Linked DNA regions of Diceros bicornis minor. The protein of the gene in region 4 purifies or fractionates together with the protein of the main gene of each other region. This does not show direct contact. Links are inferred from orthologs where the notes say so. Each region holds a gene or a part of one and is shown on either strand. Other genes may lie near its edges.

The links. The genes of interacting proteins can lie anywhere in the genome.
Region 1: the proteins of CCT3 (region 4) and DCAF7 purify together in Homo sapiens (affinity purification with mass spectrometry; 4 studies listed by BioGRID and IntAct, counting the BioPlex papers as one, with this or other methods). This does not show direct contact. The link is inferred for Diceros bicornis minor from reciprocal best matches to the Homo sapiens genes CCT3 and DCAF7.
Region 2: the proteins of CCT3 (region 4) and WRAP53 purify together in Homo sapiens (co-immunoprecipitation; 3 studies listed by BioGRID and IntAct, with this or other methods). This does not show direct contact. The link is inferred for Diceros bicornis minor from reciprocal best matches to the Homo sapiens genes CCT3 and WRAP53.
Region 3: the proteins of CCT3 (region 4) and TLE2 purify together in Homo sapiens (affinity purification with mass spectrometry; 3 studies listed by BioGRID and IntAct, with this or other methods). This does not show direct contact. The link is inferred for Diceros bicornis minor from reciprocal best matches to the Homo sapiens genes CCT3 and TLE2.

Annotation. Positions count from the first base shown.
Region 1 is NC_080757.1:46,426,819-46,434,255, forward strand, and holds the start of DCAF7 (DDB1- and CUL4-associated factor 7), read left to right. Parts: upstream 1-4,366; 5' UTR 4,367-4,552; coding exon 4,553-4,690; intron 4,691-7,437. Other genes in the region: KCNH6 (potassium voltage-gated channel subfamily H member 6), read left to right, coding at 36-207, 532-816. UniProt on the Homo sapiens protein: Involved in craniofacial development. Acts upstream of the EDN1 pathway and is required for formation of the upper jaw equivalent, the palatoquadrate. The activity required for EDN1 pathway function differs between the first and second arches.
Region 2 is NC_080757.1:10,678,854-10,687,125, forward strand, and holds the start of WRAP53 (telomerase Cajal body protein 1), read right to left. Parts: upstream 3,072-8,272; 5' UTR 3,057-3,071; coding exon 2,817-3,056; exon of another isoform or gene 2,688-2,816; coding exon of another isoform or gene 2,604-2,687; coding exon 2,284-2,603; intron 2,119-2,283; coding exon 2,020-2,118; intron 1,753-2,019; coding exon 1,641-1,752; intron 1-1,640. UniProt on the Homo sapiens protein: RNA chaperone that plays a key role in telomere maintenance and RNA localization to Cajal bodies. Specifically recognizes and binds the Cajal body box (CAB box) present in both small Cajal body RNAs (scaRNAs) and telomerase RNA template component (TERC).
Region 3 is NW_026691553.1:2,366,024-2,373,482, reverse strand, and holds the start of TLE2 (transducin-like enhancer protein 2), read left to right. Parts: upstream 1-4,388; 5' UTR 4,389-4,610; coding exon 4,611-4,634; intron 4,635-4,712; coding exon 4,713-4,810; intron 4,811-5,179; coding exon 5,180-5,243; intron 5,244-5,690; coding exon 5,691-5,735; intron 5,736-7,459.
Region 4 is NC_080743.1:59,910,428-59,918,002, forward strand, and holds the start of CCT3 (T-complex protein 1 subunit gamma), read right to left. Parts: upstream 3,150-7,575; 5' UTR 3,070-3,149; coding exon 3,039-3,069; intron 1,086-3,038; coding exon 1,024-1,085; intron 309-1,023; coding exon 258-308; intron 167-257; coding exon 104-166; intron 1-103. Other genes in the region: TSACC (TSSK6-activating co-chaperone protein), read left to right, coding at 3,432-3,433, 4,339-4,397. UniProt on the Homo sapiens protein: Component of the chaperonin-containing T-complex (TRiC), a molecular chaperone complex that assists the folding of actin, tubulin and other proteins upon ATP hydrolysis.

The DNA.
Region 1 (7,437 bases), on a different chromosome or scaffold from region 4:
CGACCCTGACCCTCACGGTGGGCTCTGCCTGGCAGGCTGGAGTCCCACATGTCTTCAGAGCTCAGCCGCATCCTGCAGCTCCTTCAGCAGCCGCTGCCCCAGGGCCACACTGGCTACATTCTGGGAGCCTCTGCCTTGTTTCCTGCGGCCTCAGCGACTCAGAGTCCAGCAACTAGGCTGCCCCAGGGCAGTCTGCCCCCTGCACAGGTGAGCAGGTGAGGGGATCCCCAGGGGCTTGCCAGGAGGCAGCTGCAGGCCTTCCCCCACCCCCAGCTTGGGTCTCAGTGTGGCATCAGGCCCAGGGCCGCTGTGGCCTGAGAGCAGCCATGGCTTCTGCAGTCCACCTTTATGGTCTGAGGGACCATAAAGGGCAGCCTGGGCAGGTGGTGGCGAAGCCCAGATTGTGACTGCAGACCCCACAGCCAGGGCAAGGGCAGCAGGACACGGCTCCTGCCAGTTCCCATCCTTGAAGTCAGAGTGGCTTGGGGGGCTCCCCACACTGCATGGCTCCCTCTTTCTTGCTTCCCTCAGACCCCAAGCTCTGGTGACTTGGACAAATGTGGGCCGAAGCACAGGAATTCCTCCTCCATGTTACCTCACCTGATCACGGCAGCGGACAAAACTACAACACTCTTCTCGGAACAGGAGCAGCCTGCGGGGCTCCTACCACCCCTGGCCTCTCCTCTGCGTCCCCTGGAGGTACAGGGACTTGTCTGTGGTCCCCGCTTCCCCTCCTTCCCTGAACATCTCAGCTCTATTCCCAAGCAGCTGGAGTTCCAGAGACATGGCTCAGATCCTGGATTTGCAGGGAGTTAGAGCCACTGAACCCCAAGATAAAAGACACCATGAGGGGACTGAAGGTGGATGAGGTGAAAGTTAAGGATTTGGGGAAGGCAGATAGCCTCCAAAATGGGCCTCTGACAACCATTCTCCTAGAGTAGCTATAAAGTGCTAACCCAGATGACCCAAGACAGTGGGGGTGGAGAGGCTCAGCACTCTTCCCAGCCTCCTTCAGGGCGCTGTTTAGACAGTGGGCCTGGTGGAGGGTGGGTGAGCTTCGGGCATGGAGGTAGCTTACAGAACAGAGAGGTCAATGAGGAAAAGAGAAAAAGTTTCCGATCTTTTGTATGAGAGCCTTGCTCTGGGCTGGGTGTGATCACCTCCTGGCTCAGAACTATCCACCACCTCACAGCCCAGCACCCATGATTGGTCAGACCTCCTGCCTAGAGCCTGTGACCCAGCTGGAGATGAAAGTGTCCTCTGTAGCGAACACATCAGGGCACAGAGCTCCAGCCCTCGGCCGCTCTGCCCCTGACGGTTCTGTAAGGACCTTTGGGACCCTAGCAGGCAGTGGAGTGCCTCACAGCTAATAAAGTCTGCACATTTCATGTTGAGTTGGGTGTGTAACTTACCTGAGGGTCATCAGGTTCTTGACTGTGCAATGACCCCAACATCTGTTGTCTTGTCCAAGCCCCTCTCAAGGGAGCTGTGTGCTGGGGACCTGAAGGTGGCTCCATCAGGCCCAGGAGCCCCTGGATCATGGGGCTCTTAGCCAGGCTGGGGTGAAGGGAAGCAGAGAGGTGCTGGCTTGGTGGCCATCAGGAATCATGACAACAGCAAACACTTCCATAACACTAACTGAGTGCTGGGTACCATGCTGACTGCACTGCAGATATTAGTTCACCTAATCTGCACAACAACCCTGTGGGGTTGATATTATTATCCCCATTTTAGAGATGTGGGATCAGAAGCAGAGAAAGACTAAGAAAGTTACCTAACCATATGAGGGGGACTTCTGCGGTGCTGTACTGTTCTGTTCCCTGATCTAGGTGCTGGTTACATGAGTATGTTTCAGGTTGTGAAAATACGTGCACTTCTATGTGTAAACTACACTTCAATTTAAAAAAAAAAACAGGGGCTGGCTTGGTGACGAAGCGGTTAAGTTCATGCTCTCCGTTTCGGTGGCCCCGGGGTTTGCTGGTTTGGATCCTGGGTGCAGACCTACACACCACTCATCAAGCCATGCTGTGGTGGTGTCCCTACATACAAAAAAATAGAGGAAGATTGGCATAGATGTTAGCTCAGGGACAATCTTCCTCAAGCAAAAAGAGGCAGATTGGCAACAGATGTTAGCTCAGGGCCAATCTTCCTCACCAAAAAAAAAAAAAAAGAATCTTGCCCAAAATTATAGGAAAAAGAGGATGTAATTTCAACCCAGATGGTCCAGCTTGAGAACATGTACAGTTAACTACTCCATTGAAATGGGCTATCGTCCAAAAAGTACCTGGTCACTGGTCTTCAGTCCTTTTTGTTCCAGTACTCCCTAAAAAATTTTGAAAATGTATTTCTCCCTTCATACATTTTTAAGTTGACGTCTGAAGTATTTCATTGATAAGTTTAAAGAGTTGCAAAGGATGTAATTTCCAGTGTGTTGTAAATATTGACACTTTATAAATGATACCATTTATATTGATCCATTTCGATCCAAATAGCATAGTGATTTGAGAGCCAACATCATTCATTTTAAAAACATCAGAACAAGCTCTTCTTTAACATTATTCCTTTTTTTCTTCTCATAATTCCATTCTATTCCTCCCACAGTTTATGCTACATGTAATTTATTTCCATGCTTTAAAGTCTATTATTGATAAACTTATCATATCTCTTTGCAACACAAATATATATATATGTTGAAATTTTAAAATCAATTTTTTGTAAACTTTCTAAGGCTTTACGGGTTACACTTAGTACAGAGTTGTTCAAAACAACATAAATATGTATTCAAATTCTTATAAAAACAAATTTTATTGGAAATGCATTTCTTAAAAAAGGGTATTTTCCTCTCAATTAGTTCATGTGTGTGGATGAATATCATTTTTTTATTAGAATAATAATATTCAAGGTTCAACATTTTTTTGTTGTTGTTAGGAAAATCAGCCCTGAGCTAACATCCATGCTAATCCTCCTCTTTTTGCTGAGGAAGACCGGCTCTGAGCTAACATCCATTGCCAATCCTCCTCCTTTTTTTCCCCCAAAGCCCCAGTAGATGGTTGTATGTCATAGCTGCACATCCTTCTAGTTGCTATATGTGGGATGCGGCCTCAGCATGGCCGGAGAAGCGGTGCGGTGCTGCGCGCCGGAACCCGGCTGCCGGTAGCGGTTAACCACTAAGCCACCGGGCACGCCCCTCAACATTTTTGTACCTATTTATTTTTTTCTTTTTTAAAAACTTACGCACAGAGAAAACTTGTTCACATAAGTAAGTAGATGGGAATCTAAGGGATTTGTTATATATGGCAGTGTCACTCAATTTGAATTCTTTCTGAGTTGTCTGTTAACAATCACATTTATCATTGAAAACTATATTTAATGATATCATCTAACAATTCAATACAATCCTTTAATTTTACTGAAAGCAAAGAATTGGAAACCATTTAAATTATGGAGACATTACCTAGATGGGACCCTCCTCCATTTCAAACTCACTGGCACAGGTATACTTAGGGCTTGATTCAAGCATTTGCCTTAGGACCCTCAGCGGTGAAGGAACGGGAGGGCAACCACAAAAACTTAGAGCCAAGCTGCTCGGGTCGCTGCCTACTGAATTCCAACCCTGCAACTCTGCGTGTTTCTACAATGGCCAGGAAAGCACGGGACGGTGGCCAGGAAAGCACAGGACGGCCCGACTGAAGCTGGCCTGGCCCTGAGTACACCGGCGGGCCTGCCCTTGGGGCACTGGGAGAACAACTCTCCGGCTTAAACAGGGCGTTGGCACGAGTGGGGAATTAAGGTGGTTCGCGTGTAGCGCGGGCCAGGCTGCCAGGCCGCGGGGCTCAGTGACGCGAAATGCAGCAGGCCCTCAGGAAAGGCAGAATTTTAATTTTTACTCGACAGAGTGGCATAGCCACTCGGAATAGCACCTGCACAGGGGGAGTGAGAGCACGTTACACAAGAGCTCTCGCTCTCGGAGACTTGGCCTAGAACTTGAAGGCCTGCCGCTCCGCACGCTAGCCTCCTATGCCTCCCACGCCCTCACCCCATTCACGCGCACTGCGCTGTTATCTCTCTGACTGACATCTTTGTCAGCCAATGACCTTCGGGACTGCGAAAGCGCCGGGGCCCCCCCCTCCCTTGGAATTGGGCAGGGCAAGTAATTGAAATGACAGACATTTACGCCAATAGTGAAGAGGTTTCAGAAGTTACGGTGCAATAGCCAATGAGAAGAAGGAACTGTTCGAACGGACGTGTCAGGCAGCCAACGGCCGGCGCCGCTGCGTGGGCCGCGTGGCTTCCGTTCCGAGAGGGCGGGGCGGCGTCTCAAACGGAAGGTGGTGGTTGTCCGAGCCGAAGCGGGTTTTAAACTGAGGGTCGGGCCCGGCCGTCGTTGTTTGTTGTCGCTGCCCCGCTTCCGGGCTAGGCCGTCTCTGCCCGCCCCCGCCCCGCCTCCCTTCGGACCCTCTCCGTCTCCGGCCCGGCTCTCTGCCCGACCCGTGCCCCGCCCGCCGCAGCCCGCTGTAGTCCCGGCCCGCCCTGCGGCCCCGCCGCCGCCACCATGTCCCTGCACGGCAAACGGAAGGAGATCTACAAGTATGAAGCGCCCTGGACCGTCTACGCCATGAATTGGAGCGTGCGGCCCGACAAGCGCTTTCGCCTGGCGCTGGGCAGCTTCGTGGAGGAGTACAACAACAAGGTGGGCCGGGCAGGGGCTCGGAACCCGGCTGGCGGGGAGCGGGCCCCGGGAGCGCCCTCTCCGGGCTGGACCCCAAACCCCAGGACCCTTCTGCGAACTTGCCTTAGCTTCACGGAGCGGTTCCTCTGAGTTTGGCCCTGTGCAGAGGGTTTCGCAGTCGTTGTCTCGTTTAATCCTGGCAGCGTTCCTGTGTAGTCAGGAGTGTGGTTACCCCCATTTTACTGATGGGGAAACTGAGGCACAGTGTTGTGACTTGCCCGACTCAGACAGCTGTTTCGTGGTGGAAACAGGTCTCAAACCCGAGTTTCCACCCAAATCTGTGCCCTTTATCATTCCTGTCCTCCTCCTCTCCTGCCGCATTGCTTCAGTTGTGGGGCGAAGGAGGTAAGAGAGAGGGATGGATATGAAGGAAAAGGCTGGCTCCTCAGTTGGTAGTCATTCACTCCTGGCTACACCAGATTTCTCTTAGGACTCTTCACTGCGCGGGCTTCCCCGCCCCCTACTCCCACTCTCTGGTACTATTCATGCCCCTAGCCCTTCTGCCAGGATTGCCATTGCTGTTGCTGCCTGATATCCGTCGTTTTCAAAGCGATCTCTTTCTGAAAATCTTGGCCCATGGCCGTGATCCCGCCGTTGTTTTCTGAGTAGAGAAGGATGACACTTGCCGTGTCTTTTCTTGCCTTCTTGCATGCTAATACAGCTGTGTAACCCGAGTAGTTAAGTTTCTGGACATCCAGAATTTGAGAACCCTTCCTAGAAGCACGGGTAGTAGGAGGTAGCTTTGAAGCTGGCAGTGCAGCATAAATTTATTTTTGAAAGTTGTTGAATAAGTCAATGGGGAGAATTTTCTTTACCCCTTTATCTCTTCCTTTTATTGTATTAGAGTAAACATTGTGATTGATAGTGATCAGAGCAACTGAAAGCCTTGGCTAATGGTGTTTAAAGCCTGTGCTCCTGCTTAACACCATGAACAGCATGATTTAAGAGAATAAAACTGTATGGACAGTGACAGGCATGGTGCAGGGGGAAAAAGCCAAATGGTCTAGGGTTGAGTCCTGTCTGGTCCATTGACTAGCTATGGGGCATTGCACAGGTCAGTCTTGTTTCTGACTCACAGTTTATTGTAGGAAAGGGGTTCTTTTTTATACATGAAGGTCATGTAAAAACTATTTGAACATAGTAAGTTTGGTTACAGTTTTTCAGGAGCACAGCTGTTTCTCTAGAGTTAGGTCTTAAATTTCTTTGGAATTCCCTTTGAGAAACTGATGAAAGTGATGGGCTCTCATTGCCCAGACATTACACGTACACAATTTACAAACAAATCCCAGGGAGTATGCACTGATCTTGTAGTCTACCCATTGTCCACAGAAAGCAGAGAGTCCTGAGTAAGACATAGCTTTATTTTTTTTTCTCTGATGCTTCTTTCTTCCTTATGGCCCATAGTAGACAGCAGAGCTGGGAATGGAATTCAAGGTCCTAGTGTGGAAACTGTGTTAGTCAAGTTGAGACCGCTAGAACTATTGTTTAAGGATACATGTTAAAAAAAAAAAAAAAAAAAGCAAAATATGTCTTTCAAGGGGCTTGAGTTTTTTTCACCCAAATTGATGTGTGTTTTTTTTTTTTTTTTCCTTGCAAGTTCTTCCAGCATCTATTTGGGTAAGCAGTAGTAGTCCCATTTCTAAGAAAGGAGAAACAGAGCCACAGTTAGGCTGCTGGTGGAATCAGTGGAGTAATTGACATCAAACCTCAGTTACAGTAACTCTGCCCCAAAGTTTGTCCTTTCATTTAGCAACTGTATAGAGCTCTTTCTTTGTGCCAGGCACAAAGGCAGTGTGGTCTTAGTAGTGAAATGCAAACTAATAATCCTAGTAGTAAGGGAACAAGCAGTTAACTATGTTAACTCACTCCAGTGATGTAGGCAATGCAGTGTCTTAAAACTGTTTTTGTGCCCCCACCTATCTAGGTCAGGGTTCTTAACTTTTGTGTGTGTGTGTGTGCACCATGGACAGCTTTGGCAATCTGAAGCCAATAGATCTCTTTTCATAATTATGTTTCCAAATGCATAAAATACATAGGATTACAAAGGAAACCAATTATTTTGAACTACAGTTATCAAAAACATTTTTTAAAAAGTGGTGATATATTGGGGCCGGCCCTGTGGTATATTGGGGCCGGCCCTGTGGCTTAGCGGTTAAGTGCGCGCGCTCCGTTGCTGGCCGCCCGGGTTCGGATCCCGGGAGTGCACCGACGCACCGCTTCTCCGGCCATGCTGAGGCCGAGTCCCACATACAGCAACTAGAAGGATGTGCAGCTGTGACATACAACTATCTACTGGGGCTTTGGGGGGAAAATAAATAAATAAAAGTTAAAAAAAAAAAAAGTGGTGATATAGTAATATGTACTTTTAAATTAACTCATTAGATTACACCATCCAGTGTAATTATTACTGTAATTTTGAAGTAGTAATGAGGGTAAATGCCATTTTAAGATGTTTAATTACTGTACTGTGATATGAAAAAAAAATCAGTGATTTCTACTGGTGACGGAGTCACAGATATTGATGCTGCTGTGAGTAGCTGCCTCTGTTTGTAATGGAAGGAAATGCTAAATTTCAGTTAGAGATTAGTGAAAATATGAATGATTCTCCAATTCAGGTTCACGGACCTCAAGTTAAGAAACCTGGCTGCAGAGGATCTGTGCCTAAGGGATGGTGGGCAGTAAATCCCACTTTAATGCAGTGATTCTCA
Region 2 (8,272 bases), on a different chromosome or scaffold from region 4:
TTCCAAAGAATTGTCTCTCCTTCCTCTTCCACCTACTCTAATCGGCTTCTGCCTCCATCACTTCTCTGAAAGTGCTCTTGACAAGTCACTAATGTCTTCTTAGGTCATTCTCTAAATTTGCCTCACTCTCAACAGCGTTGGACATGACTCTGTCTCCACTTTCGTAATTTCTCCTGCACCCCACCTCCACATGCTGGGGCGCTCAGGGCTCTGCTTGAGCCTTCTCCTTCTCCATCTATACTTGACATTGAATCCGTTCTCAAAGCATAAGATACCATCTACACGCTCTCCCACTTCTCAAAGTATATCCCCAGGGCCGGCCCCGTGGCTTAGCGGTTAAGTGCGCGCGCTCCACTGCTGGTGGCCCGGGTTCGGATCCCGGGCGCGCACCGACATACCGCTTGTCTGGCCATGCTGAGGCTGCGTCCCACATACAGCAACTAGAAGGATGTGCAGCTATGACATACAACTATCTACTGGGGCTTTGGGGAAAAAATAAATAAATAAAAGTATATCCCCAGCCCCAATTTCTCCTCTTAGATTTACATTTCACATTTAATGTACCTAAAAACTCTTGACTCCCAACCCAATACCTCTTCATATCCCTGTTTCCTCCTTCGAGTAAACTGTACCATAATCCACCTAGCTGCAAAAGCCGGGACATCACTCTTGATTGCTTCCTTCCCTGCACCCCCACATCCAATTGACCTCCAAGTCCTACATAACATACTTCAAATCCATCCACTTCTCTCCATCTCGCCCGACACCACCCTACCATCATTTCTCGCCTGGACTGTGATAAACGCATCCTAATGAGTCTCCCTGATTTCACTCTTGCCCACCCACAATCCATTCTCTAAACTTCAGCCATCATTTCACTCTCCTGTTTTAAAACTCTCCCATGGCTTCCCAAATAAACTCCAAATGCCCTACCCACAAGACCCAAAACGACATGGCTGCTAGCCACCTCTCCATCCTCACCACGCTTCCCCTTCACTGGCATTCTTTCTGTTCACTGAATACACAAAGCTCTTTCTCAGCTCTGGGTCTGTAATATCATTGCCTCTTCCTGGAATGCTCCTTCCACAGTTCTTCACTTGACTGATCTCATCATCCTTCAGGTCTCAGCTCAAATGTCTCCTTTTCAGAGAGCCTCTCCCTGACCATTTTATATAAAGTGGTATCCTCTAGTTAGTCTCTCTTCATTCTATTTCCTTCATAGCATTTATTATAATCTGTCATGAACTTGATTATCTATTGGTTTACATGTTTGTTGTCTAACTCACACACAAGAAAGCAAATCAGCTCTTCATCTGTCTCCTTCACCACTTTATCCCAGCACCAAACACAGTGATTGACACACTGGTATTCAATCAATAAATATCTGTAAGCCAATTAAACACTGCCATGAGAAATCCACTATTCTTTTATGGGAAACACATATTCCTGACTAAAGAAAGGACAAACATCTGTTTAAATGACTTCAGAATTCAGGGTTGAAAACACTACCTGTGAAAATTCATGGTGAAGAAATGTCCTGTTTGTGAACAGAAAACATGTGGACTGTACTTTCTCCATCTACAGGAAGGACTTAAATGTGCAGTGTCTGATGAAGGAGCAGAGTTAGCCCCTACCCTTACCATTTCTGCATATTCCAGCTGCTCCCCCTCATTGTACAGCTCTGGGGGCAGGTTATAAATCCGCAGGATGTTATCAGCACTATTGGTCAAGATGCAGGAACCATCAGGGGCCCTAGGAGTAGGGAAGAGTAAGAAAGCTGGACAGATCTATATTTTCCAAGTGTAGGGCTAGGGCTGAGCCTACCTCTGGGGTAGGTAAGGCCCCCAAAACCTTGGAGGAAGTAGAAGACACACAATCCTAGATGAAATTTAAGCTCAGTCCAAGAGGGATACTTACTCCTTCTCCCACCTCTGGTGGATACTTCTCCCAACTAACTGGAGTGTTCTAAGGTGAAAATCCTGGGCATGGTTATCTCTCTGCCCCATTATCCTTACTTACCACTTACACCCTTTCAAGAAGTTCTCAGATTGGGTGCTGAACTCTGACCAGGAACCACTGAGAAACCGAGGTAGCTGGGAGAAGCTGTAGTTCCAAGCGCTGGAAGGAAGATGGGGGGACAACAAACCTGGGTCGCCAAAGGAAAAAGGAAATGGGTCTGGAGAAGTGGGGCTGAGGACTGGCGGATAAGGTATATCTCATACGTCCACACATCTCACACTTCAATCTCCTCAGATTCCTGAGGCAACTGCCACCACCACTTACGTGTATCCCTCCTCCTCTGGAGCTGGGTCCTCAGACACACCTTCCACGGCTTCTCCAGGCCCCGACTCTGGCCTGTTAGTTTCTTCTGCAGGAAGGTTCACATTTTCAGAAAGTTCTTGCTCCTCGATTCGAGGGCTCAACTCACTAGGAGTACCAAACCCTATTTCCAGGGGAGTGAAGAGGGAAGCTCGGTCCCCCTCCCTCAGCTCCTGGGACACAGCTGAGCCAGCCGCGGGATCTGGGGACACCTGGGGGGGATCATCCCCATCGGGTGGCGGTAGCATCCGTTCAGGGTCCGTATTTTTATCCACCGCGGAAGGCTTAGGAGAGAGATGGGCTGGAGCTGGGGCCTGGTCTGAAAGAAGGCAGTCCGGACCTAAGAGTGGCGCCTCCGGCGTCTTCATTCTGCAGAGGAAGCGCGGCAGACATTGGCCTCGGCCAGGCAACCCTCCTCCCGCTGGCTACCAGCTGCCTGGCCCGCGGAGCAGCCGAGACAGCTCCAAAGTTCGCACGGATCCTGGAGAAAAACCCACCTGTGCCTTCCTTCTTCTTCCGGGAGGGGGCAGAAGACCCCCGGAAGGCAAGGCGAAGAAGTGGACACCAACGTTAAAAGCACGGCATCCCTCAGCCCCGTCGGTCGCTACGCGCCACTTGCTCTCGCGGGATTTGGGCCCACCTCTCGATTGGACCTCCGCATCCCGGATCAGATTTCGCGGGCGACCCACGGGAGGGGCGGGGCAGGGACGCAACAGGTCCCGGTTTACCGTTCCCATCAAGCCCCGGGGCTCTTAGAGGCTGCTGGGAGTTGTAGTCTGAAAGCTTCTGCCTCCGAGAGAAGCGTCTGAGCTCCCCCTGTCTTCTTCCCGCGGTCATGCTAAAAACACCTACTTCTTACTCCCCAACCTGCAGAGGGCGCCGGCGTTGTATTTGATTTTACAGGTTTCTGAACCTCTTTGGCATCTCATTCGCCAAATTCCTCAGACCTCTGTCTTTTCATTCATTCAATAAATATTTATTATTGAGCTCTTACTTGCTACCCAGTATGAACTGAGTACTGGGAAATACAACAATGAATAAAATAGTAGACAAAGTCCCTGCCCTCCTAAGGCTTATGTTGCTGTGTATTGAAGGCAAGGAACAAATCTTTTCAGAAAGTGATAAAAGCTGTGAAGGAAATTAAACAAGATAGCGTGATATATAGTATCTGGAGGAATACGTTAGATTGGGATATTAAGGAAGGCCTTCCAAAAAGGTAAGATATTAGCTGATGAGAAGAAACTATCCAGCTATCTGGGAAAGGAGTGTTCCAGGCAGAAGGAACAGCAAGTGCAGAGGCTTTCTTCCTTCCACCTTCATATCTGACACAGTGGCAGGAGTCTTCCAAAACGGTTTCCACCAATTCTGCCCTCACGGCTCTGGCTTGCCGAACTTCCCCACCCCAAAATGTCAATAGCTACAGCACCAACACCGCGAGAATCCTAACTTTCTCCGTGCCCTCCTCTCCGACTCTGCATTCCTATAGCCTCCGCCCGAAGGCGAATTGCTTGCCCTTACTTGTCATGGCGACTGTCCAGCTTTGTGCCAGAAGCCTCGCGGGGCTTGCTGGGATTGGGATTTTCCCCTCCCATGTGCTCCGACTGGCGCTAAAAGTTTTGAGCTTCTCAAAAGTCCAGAGCCACCATCCTGGGTGCAGGTAGCCGCCAGGCTCCGGAGTCACCTGGCGTCCGGCCTCGGGGCGTGCTTTCCAGGACGGTGACACGCTCCCGTGAGGTTCGGGTAAGCTCGTGACTGAGCCTGATGAGTCCTCTCTGAGTCACGGGCTCTCGGCTCCGTGTATTTTCAGCTCGGGAGAATCGTGGGGGTTGGGGGTGGGGCACTGGGGACTTAGCGATTTTGGGGGGATGGAAGTTTGGCGGCACCAACATAGGAATGCAATGTTGGGAGGCCTGGGTGTAGATGATGGGGATATTAGGAATTCAATTGTCAGTTGAAATCAAAGCTGAACACCTGGGCGGGGAGTGGGACTTTGGGGGAAACTTGAGCCGGCCTACGGGATTCTTCCCCACCCCCCCTCCATCCCAGTGCCGGGTGTGGGGAATCCTGAAATAAGACGCACAGAGCATGAGGGTCTCAGACTTTCGGATCTCGGAACTTTGGGAATTCATGGTTCGAGATTTTAGAGCCCATGGCATGCTGGTGGAACCTCGGGCTTCATTCCGAAATGATTATTCGGGGTGATCTGGGAAGCCCAAGCTGCTAAGGTCCCGTAACTTCCGGACCTTTGTCCTTCCTGGAATGGTCTCTGCAACCGGTCCTCGGCTCCGCTAGATGGAGAAAATCCAGTTAAAGCCTGTCAGTCGTGCAAGTGGGAAGTGCTAAACGAGAGATTTGCCCGCGAAACCAGGGAGGACTATCCCGGTCTCAGAGGCCCGAGAGCCCTGTTATTGTTTGGCTCTACATTTACATTTCTGCCCTTTGCAGGAGCATTTCCGGTTTCTTTTTTGGGGGCAGCTTACTATTCACCCGATGAGAGGGGAGCAGAGAGACAGAAAATGTCTTTTAGACTGATTCCTATTACTTGCGGAGGGAGGCTGCTAACTCCCTCCTCTACCTCTTTTTTCTTTCTTCCTGGAGTACTTAGTTACCGCTTTGGGAAAGGAAGATATATTTGTTTTGATGCAAACCTCAGTCCCTCCCCCGTTTGAATGGTGTGCTCCACCCTGGTCGACTGCAACCTCGGCGGACGCTACCATTGCGTGGGATGGGTTTTTTTTTTTTTAAAGGGTGCAGAGGGAAACCCCTGGGTATTTTTTTTTTAAAGGGCACATTTGAGAATTAAATGATGAAGGAGTGTAACGACAGGTCGTTTGTGGCGGAGAAACACTTTCTCTTGTTTCCGGCTTTGGGCTAAGCCATTCCACTTTCGGACGCAGACTGAACGTCGTGACAGCGGAAGGGGCGGGTCTTGGCGAGGGGCGGGCCCCGCAGACCTGAGTATCGCTCTCCGGTCCCGGCTAGTTCTTTCCTATGGCAGGGTGCGGAACCTCCGCGAAATCCAACGCGAATCCCTTTCTCCTGCATCTTCATCGCTTGGGTCGCGGTCGTTTCATTCAGCAGCCACTTAGCACGCACCTGCTACGCACCAGACACTGTGCGCGGTACTTCTGTGCTTATCTTTTGTCTAAATTGAGGTAGCATTTATACCCACTGCAGTTAGACGAGTTTTGGCAGCTAACCACCGTGTAACGCCTATCAAAATATAGAACATTTTCATCACCCCAGAAAAGTTTCTCATGCTTCTGTCCGGTCTGTCTTTGACCCCCACCTCTATTTTGATTTCTTTTGCCTGTTGGAGAACTTGTAAATGAAATCGTACAGTATGTGCTCCTTTGTGTCAGGCTTTTTCCTTGAGCATAATGTCTGTGAAATTCATCCATGTTATTGCATGTTATTAGTGGTGTATCAGTATTTTGCTTTTTTTTAAATTTAGTATATTCCATTAGATGAATAAACCATCGCTTGTTTATCCATTCTCCTTTTGATGGCCATTTGAGTTGTTGCCCGTTATTTTGAATAAAGCTGCTATTAACATTTTGTACAATTCTTTTTGTGGTCATATGTTTTCATGTTTCTCAGATAAATACTTGGGAGTGGAATTGCTAGGTCAAAGAGCAGAGAGTAGATCTATATATTTTTTTAACTTTATAAAAAAATTCAAGGGGCCTGCCGGGTGGCGTAGTGGTTATGTTGGCGCACTCTGCTTTGGCCGCCCTGGGTTCCCAGGTTCGGAACCAGGGTGCAGACATATGCAGGGCTCATCAAGCCATGTTGTGGTGGCGTCGCACATACAAAATAGAGGAAGATGGGCACAGATGTTAGCACATGGCCAATCTTCCTCACCAAAAAAAAATCAAGTTTTTTAAGGTGGTTGTACCATTTTACACTCCCACTAGCAAGCTGTAACCTTCCTCACCTTTGGTTTGTCGGTCTTTCTAATGTTACATGCCTTTGTGGTTTAAATTTGCTGTTCTCTGTTAATTATGTTCAACAGTTTTCATTGTGCTTATTGGCCATTCCTATGTCATGTTTGAAGTGGCTCTTCAAGTCTTTTCCCCATATTTTAAATTGGTTTATTTGCTTTTTTTTTTATTGTTGAGTTGTAGGAGTATATAGTCTGGATACACATATCTTTTGTCAGATACACGTCTTTTCTCCTGACCTGTTGCTTGCCTTTTTGCTTAACAGTATCTTAAGAGGAGCAGAAAATTCTTTTTTCTTTCAAGTGTTTGCTGTAACCTGTTTAGGAAATCTAACCCCAAGTTCATGAAGATACTCTCGTATATTTTCTTAGAATCTTTATAGTTTTAGGTTTTATACTTAGGTCTATGAGCCATAATTAATTAATTAATTAAAAAAATTTTTTTTCATGATATGAGCCAGAGGTCTAGGTTTTGTGTTGTTGCTGTTGTTTCTTATATGGATTCCATCCAGTCGTTCTAGCTCCACTTGTTGAAATAGCCTTCCTTTCCCCCACTGAATTTAATTGGAGTGCTTGGTCCATTTACATTTAATGCAATTATTATAAGGTTTGAGTTTAAATCTGCTATTTTAGTGCTATTTTCTATCTGTCTCCTTTGTTCTTTGCTCTTCTCTTCAAACATTTGAGGAAGAAATAATATCACTGTTACACAAACTCTTTCAGAATATAGAGGCAGTAACATTGCCCCCTCATTTTACGAGGCCAGCATAATCCTGATACCAAAACCAGACAAGGACATTACAAGGAAAGAAAATTGAGCTCAATATTCATGTTAGCATATATATGCAAAAATCTGGCAAATTTTAGCACATCAAACCTGGTATATATAAAAATGAGAAATAAATCCTGACCAAATGGAGTTTATCCCTGGATTGCAATGTTGATTTAACATTCAAAACTCAGTGTAATTTGCCACATTAACAGATTAAAGGATAAAAATCCTATGATCAATTCAAGACAATATTGACAATATGCAACACCTATTCATGATTTAAAAAAAAAAACCACCTGCTAGCAAACTAGGAAAAGGAAACCTCCTCAGTTTGATAAAGGGCAACCCTAATCAAGTTACCATTAACAACTTACATAATAGTGGCAGACTGAATTCCTCTAAGATCAGGAACTAGAAAAGTATTCTACTCTTACCACTTCAGCATTGTACTGGAGGTCTTAGCCAGCAAGAAAAAGAAATAAACATAATGATTGGAAAGGAAGAAATAAAACTGTTTTATTCACAGATGGTATGATTGTGTATGCAAAAAATTCAAATCAAAAATCCATTTTAAAACTATCAGAACTAATAAGTGATTATAGCCAAAGTCACAGGTTTCAAAGGCAATATCCATAAATTGTATTTTTATTTTTATTTTTTGTGAGGAAGACTAGCCCTGAGCTAACATCCGATGCCAGTCCTCCTCTTTTTGCTGAGGAAGACTGGCCCTGAGCTAACATCCTTGCCCATCTTCCTCTACTTTATATGGGACACCGCCACAGCATGGCTTAAGAAGCGGTGCGTCAGTGCGCGCTCAGGATGCGAACCTGCAAACCGGCTTGCCACAGCGGAGTGCGCACACTTAACCGCTGCGCGACCAAGCCGGCCCCATAAACTGTATTTTTATATAATAGCAACCATTGAATCTGAAGTGGGAAAATGAATTTTAAAAACAATGACGTTTACAATAGCATCCAAAAACATGGCATACTCAGATAAATTAAACAAAAGATGGACAAGAGCTCTATATTGAAAACCACAAAATTTAAGAAAGATTTTAAGAAGAGAATTTAAGGAAGATTTAAATAATGGAAAGAGATACCATATTTATGGATTGGAACACTCAGTGGTGTTAAGATGTCAGTACTCTCTAAAATGATTTAATTCAATCCTAATCAAAATCCTACCAGGCTTGTTCGTAGAAACTGACAGGCTGATTCCAAAATGAAAAAGTAGTA
Region 3 (7,459 bases), on a different chromosome or scaffold from region 4:
GACTCAACGCCTCTCTGCCTCAGTTTACTTATCTGTGAAATAGGGCTAGCAGCTCTGGTTTTTGCAAGATAGCGTGTTGCACAAGGGACTCTTGTTTTTACGGGGAGACCCGCCAGGCTCAGGGGTGGGTTGCTTCTGCCTGTTTCTGGATACAATCGAGCCGGATCCCCGCCTCCACCCGGCCAAGCTCGCGCGTCCACGAGGGTCTCAGCCCCTCTCGGTGGGGGGAGCCGCGCTCTCCATACCCCGCCGGGAGCGCCTCGCCGCCTTCCGATTGGCCCAGCGGATCCCAGAGCCTCCTGCCATTGGTTGCCGGTTCCCCGAGCCCCATTGGCCAGCTCCCATTGTGACGTCACGGACCCATGTGGGAGCGCCGCGGGCGGATTGGCTGGCGCGCGCAGCCAACCACCGCGGAGAAAGGAATTTCCACAGTAGCTGGGGCGGTGAGGCTGATTTAAGGTGGTCTGAGCAACCCGGGGTCCCAGCGCTGCCTCTCGGCTTTTTCCTTTAAAAAAAAAAACAAAACAACCACATCCACATCATAAAAAGCCAGCCAGGAACCACCGGGGCTGAGCCCTTCTGTGCAGTGGGAGGGGAGAGATTGGAAGCTAAGCCCCTTCCCCCATTTGGCAGCGTCTTCCTGGATCTTGCAGATGGGGAAACTGAGCCCCAGGGAGGTGGGGCCTGAAGCCCCCCGATGGCAAAGGAGTTGGCTGGAGAAATGAGAAGGTTGTGCCAGGCGGCCCAGACTGTCACTCTCGCCTGGCCTGGCCAGTCCTTTCCCTGCCTCCTGCTCTGGCCGGATGTGCCATTTTAGCGAGTTATGGAGCCACAGGCCGCCTGGGGGTCCCCCCATCTCTCAGATTGCTCTCAGCGGAGCCTCCCCAAATTCTGCCCCCAAAACTGGGGATGCTGCTGCTCAGAACAAAACATCTCTTCCTTCCTGGCAGGTCACACACACCATCTCTCGCTGTGTGTGTGTGTGTGTGTGTGTGTGGTCTGTGGCCTCTCAGGCAATCCACAAATCTGTATTTACCCTCCCCTGTGGAGTGTGCCTGGCTGGGAGATCGAAAGACTGGTGGGGAAAGGAAAGGCCCCCTCCTCCAGGAAGCCTCCTCTGGACTCCCTCTGCAGAGGCCCCGTTCCCACTGTGGGGACCTCGCGCCCTGGGCGCTCCCTCTGTCCCGGCACTGACTGTGTGGGCCTGGGAGTGTGTGCTCTGCTCTGTCCCCCGCCCCCCACCCCTAGCTCTCCCTGCAAGGCCTGAGGCTGGCTGAGGGCCCAGCATCTTCCAGCAGAAGGAGGTGGCTATAGAATAAATGCTCACTTAACCACCAACATTGGGCTGAGGGAGGCATGGGGCAGGGGGAGATGCCTTTTGGAGGAGACGTTGGGACTTTGGAGGAGATGCGGGGAAGACATGCCTTTTTGCTGGGCCCTGAAGGCGTGGACTTCCTCCAGGCAGAAATGCAGTGGGAGGGAATTCCAGGAAGAGATAACAACGGAAGCAGAGACCCAGAGGTGGGAGAGAACACAGATTAGGTAATCTGGCTGGTGTGGCTGGAGCAGAGCGTTTGAACCGGTGCAGGGAGGCAAAACTGGGCGGGGCCGGCTGGTGCAGGGCCTCTGATGCTAGCCTGAAGATCTGGGAATTTGTCCCAAGGGCAATCGGGAGCCATGGGAGAGTTTTAAGTGAGGGAGGGCCAGGCTCAAAGGGAAGGTGATAAAAGTGAAGGCTGCTCAGAGTGGGGAGGTGGCTTGAAGTCCAGATGGGAGGTGATTAAGGGCTGGTGCGGGCGGGGGCTGTGGGGATGGGGAGGAGGGTTGCATGGCAGCTGAGGGGGAGCGAGGAGGCCCGGCTGGTGCTCTGTCTCTGGGGACCAGGGTGGACTGTGGGGCCTGACAGGTCTGGGGGAAGATGCCACGTCTAGTGGCCTGGGGGGCATCTGGGGGAGATGCTAGAGGTGGCTGCATCCACAGGGCTGGAGCCAGAGTTTGCAGTCACCCTCATGAAGGTGGTGAGTGAGGCCTGGAAAAGGATGTGGTGGCTTGGAGCCCAAGCAGCCAGAAGTGCGGGCTGCCCGAGGCGAGCAGGCTAAAGGGAAAGAGGAAAAGACAGGAATCAGGGCCACCGGCTAGGAGAGCATGCAGAAGGCGGGGTGGGGAGGCTGCTCTGGGTGGGGCTGCGGGATGAGGGTCCAGGCGGGGCCCTTGACTTTGAGGAGGTGGAGGGCTTTTGGCAAGAGAAGGCCCAAGAGGAGATCGGGGTGGGAAGGAGTAGAGGTGAGGAAGGGGGCGCCACGATTTGGACTAGCGGCCCAGGGAGGGGAGATGCTGTCTTCGCAGGGGACGCAAGACACCTCCTGGAAAAGTTCTGGAATTAGGACTTCACGGACGCCCCCAGAACCCGGAATCACGAGCCCTCGGCATTGTGGAATTGTGGTCCTCCCTGTTTCTTAGAATTTCCCAGCAGGAGTGTGGCCAGGGATCTCTGGCTTTGGCTGGATCGGCTGTTTCTGCTCCTCACTGACTGCCTGTGCATTTATCGAGCACCTACTGTGTGCCAAGCTCTGCACGGACCAAGACAGGCTCTGTCCACACAGCCTAGTACTAGGGGGGACAATGCATAGAATAACCCACAAAGAAACATAAACATATCAAAACAAATCACAAACCAAAATAAAACCTCTGATAGGAGCTAAAAAGAGAGAGAAAAGCAGTTGAGAATAACAGTATTTATTTAGAATAATAGCGTGGGGTGGGTGGATGCTGCTTAATGGGTGGCTGGGAGGGGACTTTCTGAGAAGGTGACATTTGAGCTGAGACCTGAATGGTGGGAAACAAGGGAACAGCATTCCAGGTGGAGGGAACAGTCAGTGCAAAGGCCCTGAGGCAGGCCCCTGTCTGTTCTGTTGGAGGAACAGCGAGGAGGCCAATGTGGCTGGAACAGAGGGAGTGAGGGTGAAAGGGAACAGAGTTGGGATCAGAGATGGGAGGGCCAGGAGGGGGTTTGTGCAGGGCCTTGTGGGAAGAGGGAGGAGTTTGGATTTTATTTTGATGGCAATAGGGAGCTATTGAATGCTCCTTCCGACACACTCACACACACACACACACACACACACACACACACACTATCCCCAGGATCTCTCTTCCCCTCCCTTCCGGGCTGCGCATCTTTATCTTTCAGGTCTCATCTCCTACATTAACCTCCTGAGAGAGGCCTCTCCCGGATGCCCCAGATAAGGAGGTTCCCTCCTGCTGATCTCCACCACTGCTCCCTAAATCTTCCTTTAGACACACAGATAATTCCATCACTGCCAAGCTGTGATCTTGCCTTGTCCCTCGAACCCAGAGAAGGCAGGAGTCTGTCCTCCTTCATCCACCCTTGCATTCCTGGTGCCTGGAAGGCAGTCCATGCTCGAGAAGTAGCCCTTGGCTGGAAACGATGCTCTAAGCTTGAGAAGGGCTTGTGTGCACTTTTGTTCACTCACCCACTGACCCGGGTGCAAACATTAGCATGGGGCAAGGGCTTTTCCCTGTCTTGTTGTTCCCCGCTGAGCCCCAGTGCCTAGAGCAGTGGCTGGGCCATGGTAGGCACTCAAGGGGTGTTTGTTGATTGACTTAATGATCGACTCTGAGGTTTCTTGTATGCAAGATGGGAACAAGGACGTGGTACCTCCGGGGTGAGTGTGAGGGATGCTCGCTGGATGTCTGTAGTGGGAGGAGCCTCTGTCTGATGGCAGAGATTCCCTTCCCGTCCTCGCTGGGACCCCATAGTCTGAGAGGGGAGGCAGCCCCGTCTGCAGGTGGCGGCCACCGGAACACCAGCTCCCATCTCTGGGGCTGACCCAGTGCCAGGCCAAGCCGAGGGCTGTTCCAGTCTCATGCCTTTTAGAAAGAGCGCCTGCCTCTGCCACTTGACAGACGAGAATCCTGGGGGGGCCCGGGCCTGGCTCTGCCTCCCAGCTGGGTCCTCCCGGGGCCTTTGCACACGCTCTTCCTACCCCTGGCAGGCGCCTGGCCAGCCCGCTTCCTCCTCCCCCCGCAGTCTTAGCGCACTTGCCCAGCAAGGCCCCCAAAGCGCCCCCTCCCCACCGGGCTGCCTAGGTATTTGTTTATCTGTTTCTTGTTTTTCTTGGGGAGGGCGGGGGCGGGGCGGGCGGGGCTGGACGCCAGCCTCAGTTTCCCCGCCGGTTCCCCGGCCGAGGGGAGGGCGCGGGGGGCGCGCGGGCCGGTGGGCGGGCCGGGCGGCGGCGCCACCTTAAGGCGGCTCTGCCCGCGGCTCCCGGCCGAGCCCCGCCGGAGGGAGGCGGCTCCGCGCGGGGCCCGCCGCCCGCGCCTCCCCAGCCGGCCGGTCCCGACCCTCCGCGCCCGTCGCGCGCCCCCCGCGCGCCCCCCGCGCGCCCCGCCCGGGAGGGGCCCCGGCCACCCTCCGTCCCCGCCGCCCGCGCGCGCTCTCGGGGGCGCCGGGCACTCCGGGGTCCCCTGCCCCGCGCCCCCTCCTCCTCCTCCTCCTCCTCCTCCGGGCAGCCCCCCGCCTCCAGCCTCGCCGCCCACCCCCACATTGTCCATCCAGCTCGGCGGCGCGGGGGGCTTCCCGGATCGCCAGGATGTACCCCCAGGGAAGGCACCCGGTGAGTGGGGGTCCAGGCTGCGGGGCGGGGGCGGGGGTCCGGGGCGTCCCAGAGCTCAGACCCCGGCGACCCCCCCAGACCCCGCTTCAGTCCGGCCAGCCCTTCAAGTTCTCGATCCTGGAGATCTGCGACCGCATCAAGGAGGAATTCCAGTTTCTTCAGGCTCAGTACCACAGGTGAGGGGGGGCCCGCCCCAGGGGACCCCGGAGTCCGCCTGGGAGCCCCCCGGGAGAGGGCGGGGCCCGCAGGGGAGGGGGGCGGGGCCTCCAGGGTGCAGGAGGAGGGGGCCCCCCGGGGACGAGGGGAGGGAGGGCTTCCAGGTGGAGGCGCAGGTGAGCTTGGAGGGGGTCACTTGGCACTGGGACACTTAGAGCCTGCGAAGGGGTGGGAGGGACTGCGACCAGGAGGTGGGGGTGCGTGTGTGAAAAAGTGGGGAGGGGGAGAGCCAAACCGATCAGTTTGGAAACGGGCCCAGAAGGGGCGTCCGTGGGACTCCAGCTGGGGGGCAGGGGCAATGGGGTCCCAGCATCCTGTCTCCTTCCCAGCCTCAAGCTGGAATGTGAGAAGTTAGCCAGTGAGAAGACGGAAATGCAGCGACATTATGTCATGGTGAGGGGGGGTGATGGTGCCGGGTGGGGGGAGTGGGGAGGGCTGGGCTGTGAGTGAAACACTGGGGTGTGACGCCGGCCTCACTGTGCCTCTGCAGGGTAAGTCCCTGCCCCTCTCTGGGCCTCGCTTTTCCTGTCTGTGAAGTGGGCTGGTTGGGATTCCAGGCTGTCTCCCAGGGCCCTCCGGGCTCTTTAGAACAGGGAGGCAAGGATGTCCCCGCTCCACGGGCATCTCGGCGGGGCCAGGGCCACTGGACACCAGTGACCTGCCCCACCTCCCTGGAGAGAGTGGAGGGGGGCCCTGCATCCTCCTCTGGGCTTTCTCTCCGGGGTCCCACGGGGCTGGGAAGCTGCGGGTCCAGCCGGGGGGCTGTTGGAAGAGCCAGCGTCCCCCAGCGCAGGACTGGACGCGTCGGCCCGTGGACACCCGGCTGGCTTTCTCTTGCAGTACTACGAGATGTCCTACGGACTCAACGTTGAGATGCACAAACAGGTAGGTGGGTGGGGGGTGAGGGTGTTCAGGAGGGAGCGTGGGGGTCTGGAGGCTGTGACACGGCCCCAGCGCTCGGGCGGTCTGCGGCAAAGCAAATCCAGGGCACAGGGGTCTTATCCTGAAATCTCTGGGACCAGGGGGCCAGATTCCAGCCTCGTGAAAGGAAAAAGCGTCTGAGCTTCTGGAGACTCTGTCCAGCCGCGAGGCGAGCGGTGGGCAGGGGCCCACCAAGGAGGGCTCGTAGCAGAGGCCGGCAGCCGGGTCCGGGAGGCTGTGGGGATGCCCTCTGTCCCGGGAGGGGGCCGGCTGGACAGTCTGGGGGGCCCCTTTCAGCCCGGAGAGTCTGACCTTTGGATCCTGAGGGTCTGAGATGGACCCCGAGGTCCTGGGACTGTTTTGAAGGTTCTGAGATTGACCCTAAGGCTCTGAGGCTCTGAGACCCTCCTAAGCTTGTGCGTGTGGTGTCAAGGTTCTGAGATAGACCCAGAGGTTCTGAGATAGACCCGAAGCTTCTGAACTTGAGTCTGGTTGTCCCAGATTAATCCTGAGGTCCTGAGACTGACCTCTGAGGGCTTTTAATGGGATGAGAGGGGCCCCGAGATTCAGAATATCAGAATCAATGAGTAGAGCCTAGTGTCCGGGCTTCCTGGTGGGTGGGAAGAGGAGAGGAGTGGGCTGGGAGTGGGGGTACCTGGGGGTGCCCGCCCCGGGCATGCTTTCCGGGTATGTATGGGCTCCACTGGTTCTGGTGTGGGCCGGAGGGGGCTGTTGGCCTGGAGCGTGGCGTGGTCCCCTGGGTGCGTGAAATAGACCTCCTTATGGGGTGGAGGGCGTGGGGTGGGGCCTGGTTCCTCCCTCCTGGTGGGAACACAGACGCCACCCAGATGCACCCAGCACCCCTGTAATTCAGGCTGACTGTGCACAGCTGGATATGCCTCCCCACCCGCGCAGCCTCCCCTCTGCTCAGCTCTGTGGGACACCCCCCACCTGGACCCTGTCCCGGATGAAACCTACAAGTAAAACCACCCATTTCCCCTTTACTCTCTATCCTTCTGATGCCAAACGTGTGGCTTTTCCCCACACCAACCAATTCTCCAACTCCGACCCCAGCGGGGTGTCCCACAGTTCAGCTCGATTCTGACACACGACCCGGAGTTGGCGCAGACCCCACAGGTCCGGGGCTCGGCCGCACAGGACGGCCCCGCTTCGGACGCCGGTCCCAAGTCCGGGCCTCGTGTCCTTCTGACCAACTGGCTATAAATCCTGGTTCCCACGACCCGCTCTTCGGGTTTGATAATTTGCTAGAACAGCTTACAGAACTCAGGAAAGTTCTTGTTTACTATCACCCATTTATTGTAAGGGCTATAACTTAGGAACTGCCGGATGGAGGAGATGCTCAGAGCAGGGTGTGAGGAAGGGGCTCGGAGCTTCCGTGCCCTCCCTGGGCACCACCCTCCCGGCACCTCCCGTGTTCACCCACCCGGAAGCTCTCCAAACCTAGTATTGTAGGATTTTTGAAATGGAGGCTTCACTGCGTTGGCACGATTGATTAAATCATTGGCCATTGGTGGTTACCTCAATCCCCAGCCCCTCTCCCCTCCTGGAGGTGGAAGGCTGGGGCTGAGAGCTCCAGCCCTCTGATGAACTCAGGTGTGGGGGAAAGGGGGGCTTATTACAAATAGCAAAAGACGCTCCCCTTAGCCCATCACTCAGGAACCCCAGGG
Region 4 (7,575 bases):
TTGTGGTAATTTATTACAGCAGCCCAAAGAAACTAATTATCGTCTATATATATCTTTATGGGTCCTTTACAAAAGGATTAGAAAGCAAAATGAAAAGTCATACCTCTCGAAGAATGGCATTGCCATCATTGGTCATCACAATGCCTCCCATTGGGTCCAAAAGCATCTAGGACAAAAGCAAAAGTTATATTTAAGTGTTCCAAATAACAGAAAGGGAAAATCTGTAGTCAAAGAGTTTCAGTGAGAGATAAGCCTACCTTCATCATGGACTTGGGTCCCAAACATGTTCGGATGATATCTGCAATAGTCTATTGGAAAGAATATATAAAACATGTAAGCCCAGATCAAAGGAGTGCGTGTGTTAGGTGAAGGGGCACGAGTAATCCACAAAGTCAGTGTTTTAACAACTACACCTCTAAAGCAGGGTTGGCAACCACTTTAGACATAGCAAGCCACGTGGCTAGATTCTGTTGTTTTTCCCCTTTGGGAATGCTTTCAGGGTGGATGTAGAAAGAAAAAACTTCTCACAAGAAAAAAGGAGGCGTGCCTCCCAGAGCTTCAGTTTCCCAGCAGTCCAGGTAACTGGAAGTCCATGTCTTAGTATTTCTTTCCATGACAGTGGCCTCCACACCATGCTAAATCAGACCTAGGGCTATTTCATTCTTTCATTCAAAAGATATTTACTGAACACCTATCCAGGATCTACAGTGGGGACTAGGAATACAAAAGGGAATTTAATACAGTCCTTCCCCTCAAGTAACTCAGTCTAGTATGGGAGACAAACACAAACAGAATACTATAAAACAACATACAGCAATAGAATTATACACAAGTTAATATGAGAAGACTGTTAGGCATCTCTCAGAGAGGCAGAGCTTCCTTCTCTCTAGCACCATTAGGAAAATGTCCTGAAAGAAGGGAAGTCAACTTTTCCTCTCCCTAATTGCAAACAAGTACAGAAATACTAGGAAAGGCAGCTGGAGGCAAACTATCATACTTTAAACAACTTAAAAGATATGCTACCTTGGCGGCATTGATGTTTCCAGACTGAACTTTTCTTCCAGATTCACGCTTTGTGTTCTGGCCTAAAACAGATAAGAACAAAAGGCAACAGCCCAGGATTGCTCCACTGTATATCAGCTATTTATTCCCTGACCTTTGAAAATAAACACACAGGTATATACACAGATCACAGCTTCTCAAATTGTACACTTTAAATATGTGTGACTTACTGTATGTCAATTATACCTCAAAAAGCTGTTAAAAAGTAAACATATGTACTTACGGCTACTTACTTCTTTATTTACTTCAATTCCCGGTGTACTAAGAAACAACCCATAAAGCTTCAATTTTGGAATTTTGTTACTTTCTCTCTAACCAAACATTAATGTATTTACAACAAGGATTCATAACCTGAAATCCTTGAGTGGGCCTCAGTGGGATAGTGAACTCCCTGAGATTATATGAGAAAATGAGAGAGACTGCGTTTTTGTCTGGGAAGACAATCTCTAGCTATCATCAGATTCTTAAAGGGCTGGTGACCCTAAAAAAGCATGAATCACTGCTTTATGTAAAAAGGGAAGAGCTTGGGGGTTCACATTTTCCTACTTGGATAGGGAGAATCATACTCTGACAGTTTCAGTATACTTATTGATAGTGCCCCCACAATGTGCTGGGGAATGAGAACACATTCTCAAAAGTATGCAAGATAGTCACGTCATGCTTGGATATGGTAAGAATGCTTCAGTAACCCATCAGTAAGAGCTGACTATGTATTTTAATAGGGAGCCTCATCAGTTAATAGCCAGTAATGCCAGAGATTAATGTAGACCTGAAAAGGGCTTCACAACACACCACTCACTCCAGGGCCCTCAATGTAGACAAGCCAGTGGGTTATAACCAAACCAACATAATGCTTATTTCCCGCCTCTCTCCAAATTATACATTCCCTACAATTTAAATCTGTAAATTTTTTCAATCCAGTTCTATCAAATCTCAACACAACTCTCAGGTTTTAGATTCCTATTTTAGGCAGTCGTAACTAAAATCCTGCATTGACCTTTCTGATGGATTCATCAGAAATACTGTGTTTTTTTCGGTCAAGTGAAATTTTTTCTGAAAACAGTTATCTTCCAGGTATAGAGGAAATGAATAAAATCTACGAAGAGAATTCTGTATACAGAAGATGGTAAGGGAGGGAAATGGCGAGTCGGGCGTCTTAGGTAGTCTTGCAAATGGGATACAGAAGTTGCACACAGAATGGAAACATATCCGGGAAGACAAATGGAGGTGGTACTCACTAGTCAGAAAGAAACCTGGGACGTTCCCGACAGGTAAAGAAAACCAATGGAAAAATTTGGGAAAACTCGGCTAGTGAGAGAGATTACAACGCGGGGGACACTGAGGGAATAACCACATCTAAGACAGACCAGTGAGGGAAGTAGGGTTTCTTCAGGAACAGGGGTTGGTGAACAGAAATTCAGGAGGAATGTTACCGAAAAGTGACCAAGGCTATCACTTGCTGTTTGCCAGATCCTCTTTTAAGCAGTTTACCTACTTATCTCATTTAATCCTAACAATTCTACGAGGAAATACTGTTAGCCCCAATTATCAAGACAGAAACGCTTAAATCAAGCAATTTGGCCGAGGCCTCACCGCTACCAGAGGACGGGCCAAGGTTATAAAGCTAGGCCGGACTGAAAAATCATCATTCATTCAGCTACACACTGAAAATCAAGCCAGGAAGAGTGCAGGGGCGGGGGAGGGGAGGAAGAACCGAGCGCCGAGTGGGAAGTGGCTTCCCGAGGCCAGTGCCCGCAAAGACAAAAGGCTCGGAGAGGGGAGGTCAGTTTGCGTTTGTGAAGACAAGGGAATGGGCCAAGGGAAGAGAGGAAGGCGGGAGACGGGGATTCCAAAATGAATGATGACTGGAAGGCTCAATGGCCGGACCAGGGCGGGATGGGGCTGGGGCAACACCGTAAAGTGTGGACAGATGGGGGCGAAAAGGGGGTCCCTTCCCCGGTTTCCCCACAACTCACTGAGCACGAGCACGGGACGATGGCCCATCATGGCGGCGCGATGCAGAACCGGGCACCCAGCGCGGGGGCAACCGGCAGAACGTTCTGGAGACAGACCCAGAGGCAAGCCCAGAAAACGCTGGCTCCTCGGGGCTTACACCTAAACCCGCTATCTTCAGAGTCGCGGCCAATCACCGTAGCCACCTCATTGACCGGCACGAAAACAGGCCAATTGACATTCTTAGCCCCGCCTCCCACGCAAGAACGGTAGGGCAAGCTAGATAGAGAGAGCGCGATGATGGAGGTGGGAGGGCACAAGCGCTTGCGCAGTAGGGTGGCCGCTCCCGGCCGCGTGCGGCGCGAACCTCGGCGCAAGCGCCAAGGCTCTGGCAGTTGGCCGGCACGCTACTGCGCATGTGTGTCAACTACATGGTGGGTGCTGGGGTTGAGGCCTTCAGTTAACATCGCAGGTGAGGTCATTAAGCTGCCTTGCGCCTCAGCTGTTCTCGGGCCGCGAAGATCAACGAGGGTGTGACAGTTTCCACTCTTTCGTTCCAGCCTGAGGAACGGGGAGGAGTAGAGGGGCGGGACTTCACCGGTAGTTGAGGGAAGACCTGGCTGGTGTGATGTGGGTTGAAATGGGAGTTGTAGTCCTATCGGGCTGAGCTGGGCGGTAACAGTACGTCTTCTGGGCACGCTGTGAGTTGTGGTGTATTGCCTCTGGACTCGTTGCTGTGAATGGACCTTTCCCTTTTTAGTCAGATGCTTCCTACTGAGGCTGTGAGCGGTACTGGAGGGTAATGGCTTACTTTTTCCCAGAGTTATCCTATCTAAAACGTTTTCTCAAGCGCTCCCTGTAGTGCTTTGAGATTTTCTTTCTGCACGCCTATCTGCTCTCCCGCCCTGCTTGTCCACTCAACTGCTGGTCCATTAGAGATGATGGGGAGCCAGAGTTTTTAAGTTATCTTACAGGACAGGAAAAAGGGTTGATAGTGCAGAAATCAAGCGTGAAGAGAACACAGAGTAATTGCTGTTCGTAGGAGGCTCGTAAGGTTTGGGTTTGGTTAAATTACTATTTTTTCCACAAAAAAAGGAAGCAATAAGAGAACTGTGTTACAAACTAGTGAAGGCACCGTGAGAGCACAAACAATGCAAGAAGAGTTACTTATATTTGGCCATGAAATAGAAGAGTACACCCTTTCACACTTTTTCCTCCTGAAATTGGAACAGCCTGAGATCTGCTGGAGGGAACTTATGAAATTGTCAATAGTAAAATAATAGCATGGGTTGTTGATCATGTGATGCTATGATTCTTTCTTAGGCACCACACTGTTGGTGTTCAGATGGAGCAGCATACTACTCATCCTTCGAACAGAAAAGGTGTGTGTCAGAGGCCCTGCTTTCTCTCCCGTAAAATCAGACCGCTTTAATGGCCCAGCATTTGGGAAAATTATTCTAGTTGTGTGTATGTTTTTTCCTTTTATTTAAACTTTTTTTTTTTTTTTGCAGAGGAAGATTAGCCCTGAGCTAACATCCGTGCCACTCTTCCTCCACTTTATATGTGGGTCACTGCCACAGCATGGCTGACCGGTGGTGTAGGTCTGCAGCCAGGATCCGAACCCGTGAACCCAGGCGGCCAAAGTGGAGTGTGCTGAACTTAACCACTACACCACAGGGCTGGCCACTGTGTTTTCGTTTTGTTTAGTTAATTGAAAAGTATTTGTACTTTTTTCTGCATTTCCCACTAAATGGGAACATTGATGTATTCCCAGTGCCTAGAACTGGATCTGTTAAATAACAGATGCCCAGTAATTATATGTTGAATGAATATATTATTCTTCCTTTGTAGCTCCTCTTAATACTTAGAACAAGACTATGTCCAGGGATCCCAGAAGACATAGTGTTGGCTAGAGTGAACTCAGTTTGAGTGGGACAGTCCCACTGGTGGCCAGGGAAATGCCTGAGGCCATCCGACTCCAGAGCCTATCCACTTAAGCGTAGTGGAGTAGATTACTTTATCTGAGAGGCCTATTATGTCATAGCTTGCACATAAATGAACTAGCTCTTTTCACAGAGTATATTGTGCAGTGATAAAGAGCATGACCCTGGAGTCTACAGGCCTGGATTTCATTCCAGTACTGCCACATACTAATTGTGGAATCTTGAGCAAATTTCCTATCTTAAGTTTTTTCATGGGGCCGGCCCTGTGGCATTGTGGTTAAGTGCACGTGCTCCACTGCTGATGGCCCAGCTTCGCATCCAGGCGTGCACCGATGCACTGCTTGTCAGGCCATGCTGTGGTGGCATCCCATATAAAGTAGAGGAAGATGGGCACAGATATTAGCCCAGGGCCAGTCTTCCTCAGCAAAAAAAGAGGAGGATTGGCATGGATGTTAGCTCAGGGCTGATCTTCCTCACACACACACACAAAAAACGTTTTTCAAAAAAATGTGGATAAAGCTACCTACTTCAAAGAGTCATTTGTGAGACATATATAAGATAATGTATGTAAAGCACTTTTTATTATTATTTTCTCTGTTCTGCCTCCTTTTGCTGCTCCTCAGCCTCATCTTCTCTGATACGTTGTCTAGTCAATAATGTGGTTCCTTAGTATGAATTATCTGTAAAGTATTCTTCAAATCTTACAACCTGGTAGAAAATGTGTCATTATATACCTAGGAAGGGCTCAAATTATTTAGAAGTGCATTTGTATGGAAATTATCAAATTTTTCAAACGGTGAGAAGAATCTATTTTTTTGTTTTTATTTTTTGTGAGGAAGATCAGCCCTGAGCTAACATCCATGCTAATCCTCCTCTTTTTTTGCTGAGGAAGACCGGCTCTGAGCTAACATCTATTGCCAATCCTCCTCCTTTTTTTCCCCAAAGCCCCAGTAGATAGTTGTATGTCATAGCTGCACATCCTTGTAGTTGCTGTATGTGGGATGCGGCCTCAGCATGGCCGGAGAAGCGGTGCGTTGGTGTGCGCCCGGGATCCGAACCCAGGCCGCCAGTAGCGGAGCACGTGCACTTAACCGCTAAGCCATGGGGCCGGCCCAAGAAGAATCTTGAGACCTGAGTTTCAGTTTCTATTTCTTTACCACTCTGCATGAGCCATCAAATGACTGCTGACCCTGGAGCAGGAGGGAGGAGAGGATGGAAGACATTCAGTAGGGTTTGGAAAATCCACAAGCCCAGAGCGAAAAAACAGATTTCCTTCACCAAGAGTAACTGACAGGGAATAGAACAGCTGTCAGTTTTCACAGGCTCAATGACTTTCCAGACAGAAAGCACCTCAGCCTGGCACCTATGTGTGAACACTTCTTCCTCTTGGCAGGCCATTACTCTGTTGCAGTCTGAGTAAAGGACAAGAATGAGACATCTTCCTTCATACAACCTCCTTGTCACGCCTCTGCCCCCAGGCTTGTTTTTCGTGAAGAGGCCCTCTCTTTATCTTCATCCTTCAAATCCCAGCTGAGACTGTGTCACTTCCTCAGAACACACTCCTCAGCTCCATAGACTAGGTTAGGTGCTCTTATAGCAGTTAAGGGGTGTAATAATGTGCATGCTTGATCGCTTAATTACTGTTTACACTGCAATGCTGTCAGTTCATGAGAATAGTGACCACATCTGTTTAGCTCACTGTGGTATCCTCAGTGGCTGACACATTGCAGGCACTTAACTCTTATCTATATGAATGAATGAATGAATGAATGAATGAATTCCATTTTCCTATCCTTTTTTGATCTCTGACAGTAAGTTATAGACTCCCAACTGTCTCAAGCTCTTTAATTCCCTCATGGTCCCAGCTATTCTACCTTTCCATCCATTGCTCCTCTGTCTGCTTTGCCACTTCCTTTTCATCTTCCAAACTCCTGAGGAGTTCCCCAAGGATCTAATTTTCACTCTCAGTTTTTCACTTTGGAGGGCTAATTTATTTTTGCAGATACTTCATCACCTCCTTGTGGCTGGCCTGGCGGTTTGACCTTTCTCCTTAGCTCAGTGCCATCTCCCTGACTATTTTTCTTTTTTTTTTTTTTATAATTTTATTTATTTATTTTTTCCCCCAAAGCCCCAGTAGATAGTTGTATGTCATAGCTGCACATCCTTCTAGTTGCTGTATGTGGGACGCGGCCTCAGCATGGCGGGAGAAGCAGTGCGTCGGTGCGCGCCCGGGATCCGACCCTGGGCCGCCAGCAGCGGAGCGCGTGCACTTAACCGCTAAGCCACGGGGCCGGCCCTCCCTGACTATTTTTCTGGGCACTTCTCTTTGGTCTGCCTAGTCTCACATCAGATTCAATATGTCCAAAATATGATTTATGTTAATATGACAGAACCCCAACTCAGACTTTCTTGAATGAAAAAGGAAATTCAGAGGCTTATGCATTTGGAAGGGATACTGAGGTAGTCACAGAATAAGAAGAAGAGCTGCAAAAACCAGGGCTCTAGGGACTGAAACTGGTTATTCCGTGCCTGTAGGTATCTGTCCATTTATCTATCTGTCTCCTATGCTCTCTCTTGTCTCCAGTCTCTTGCTTGTATCTTCTTCTCATGGCATGCT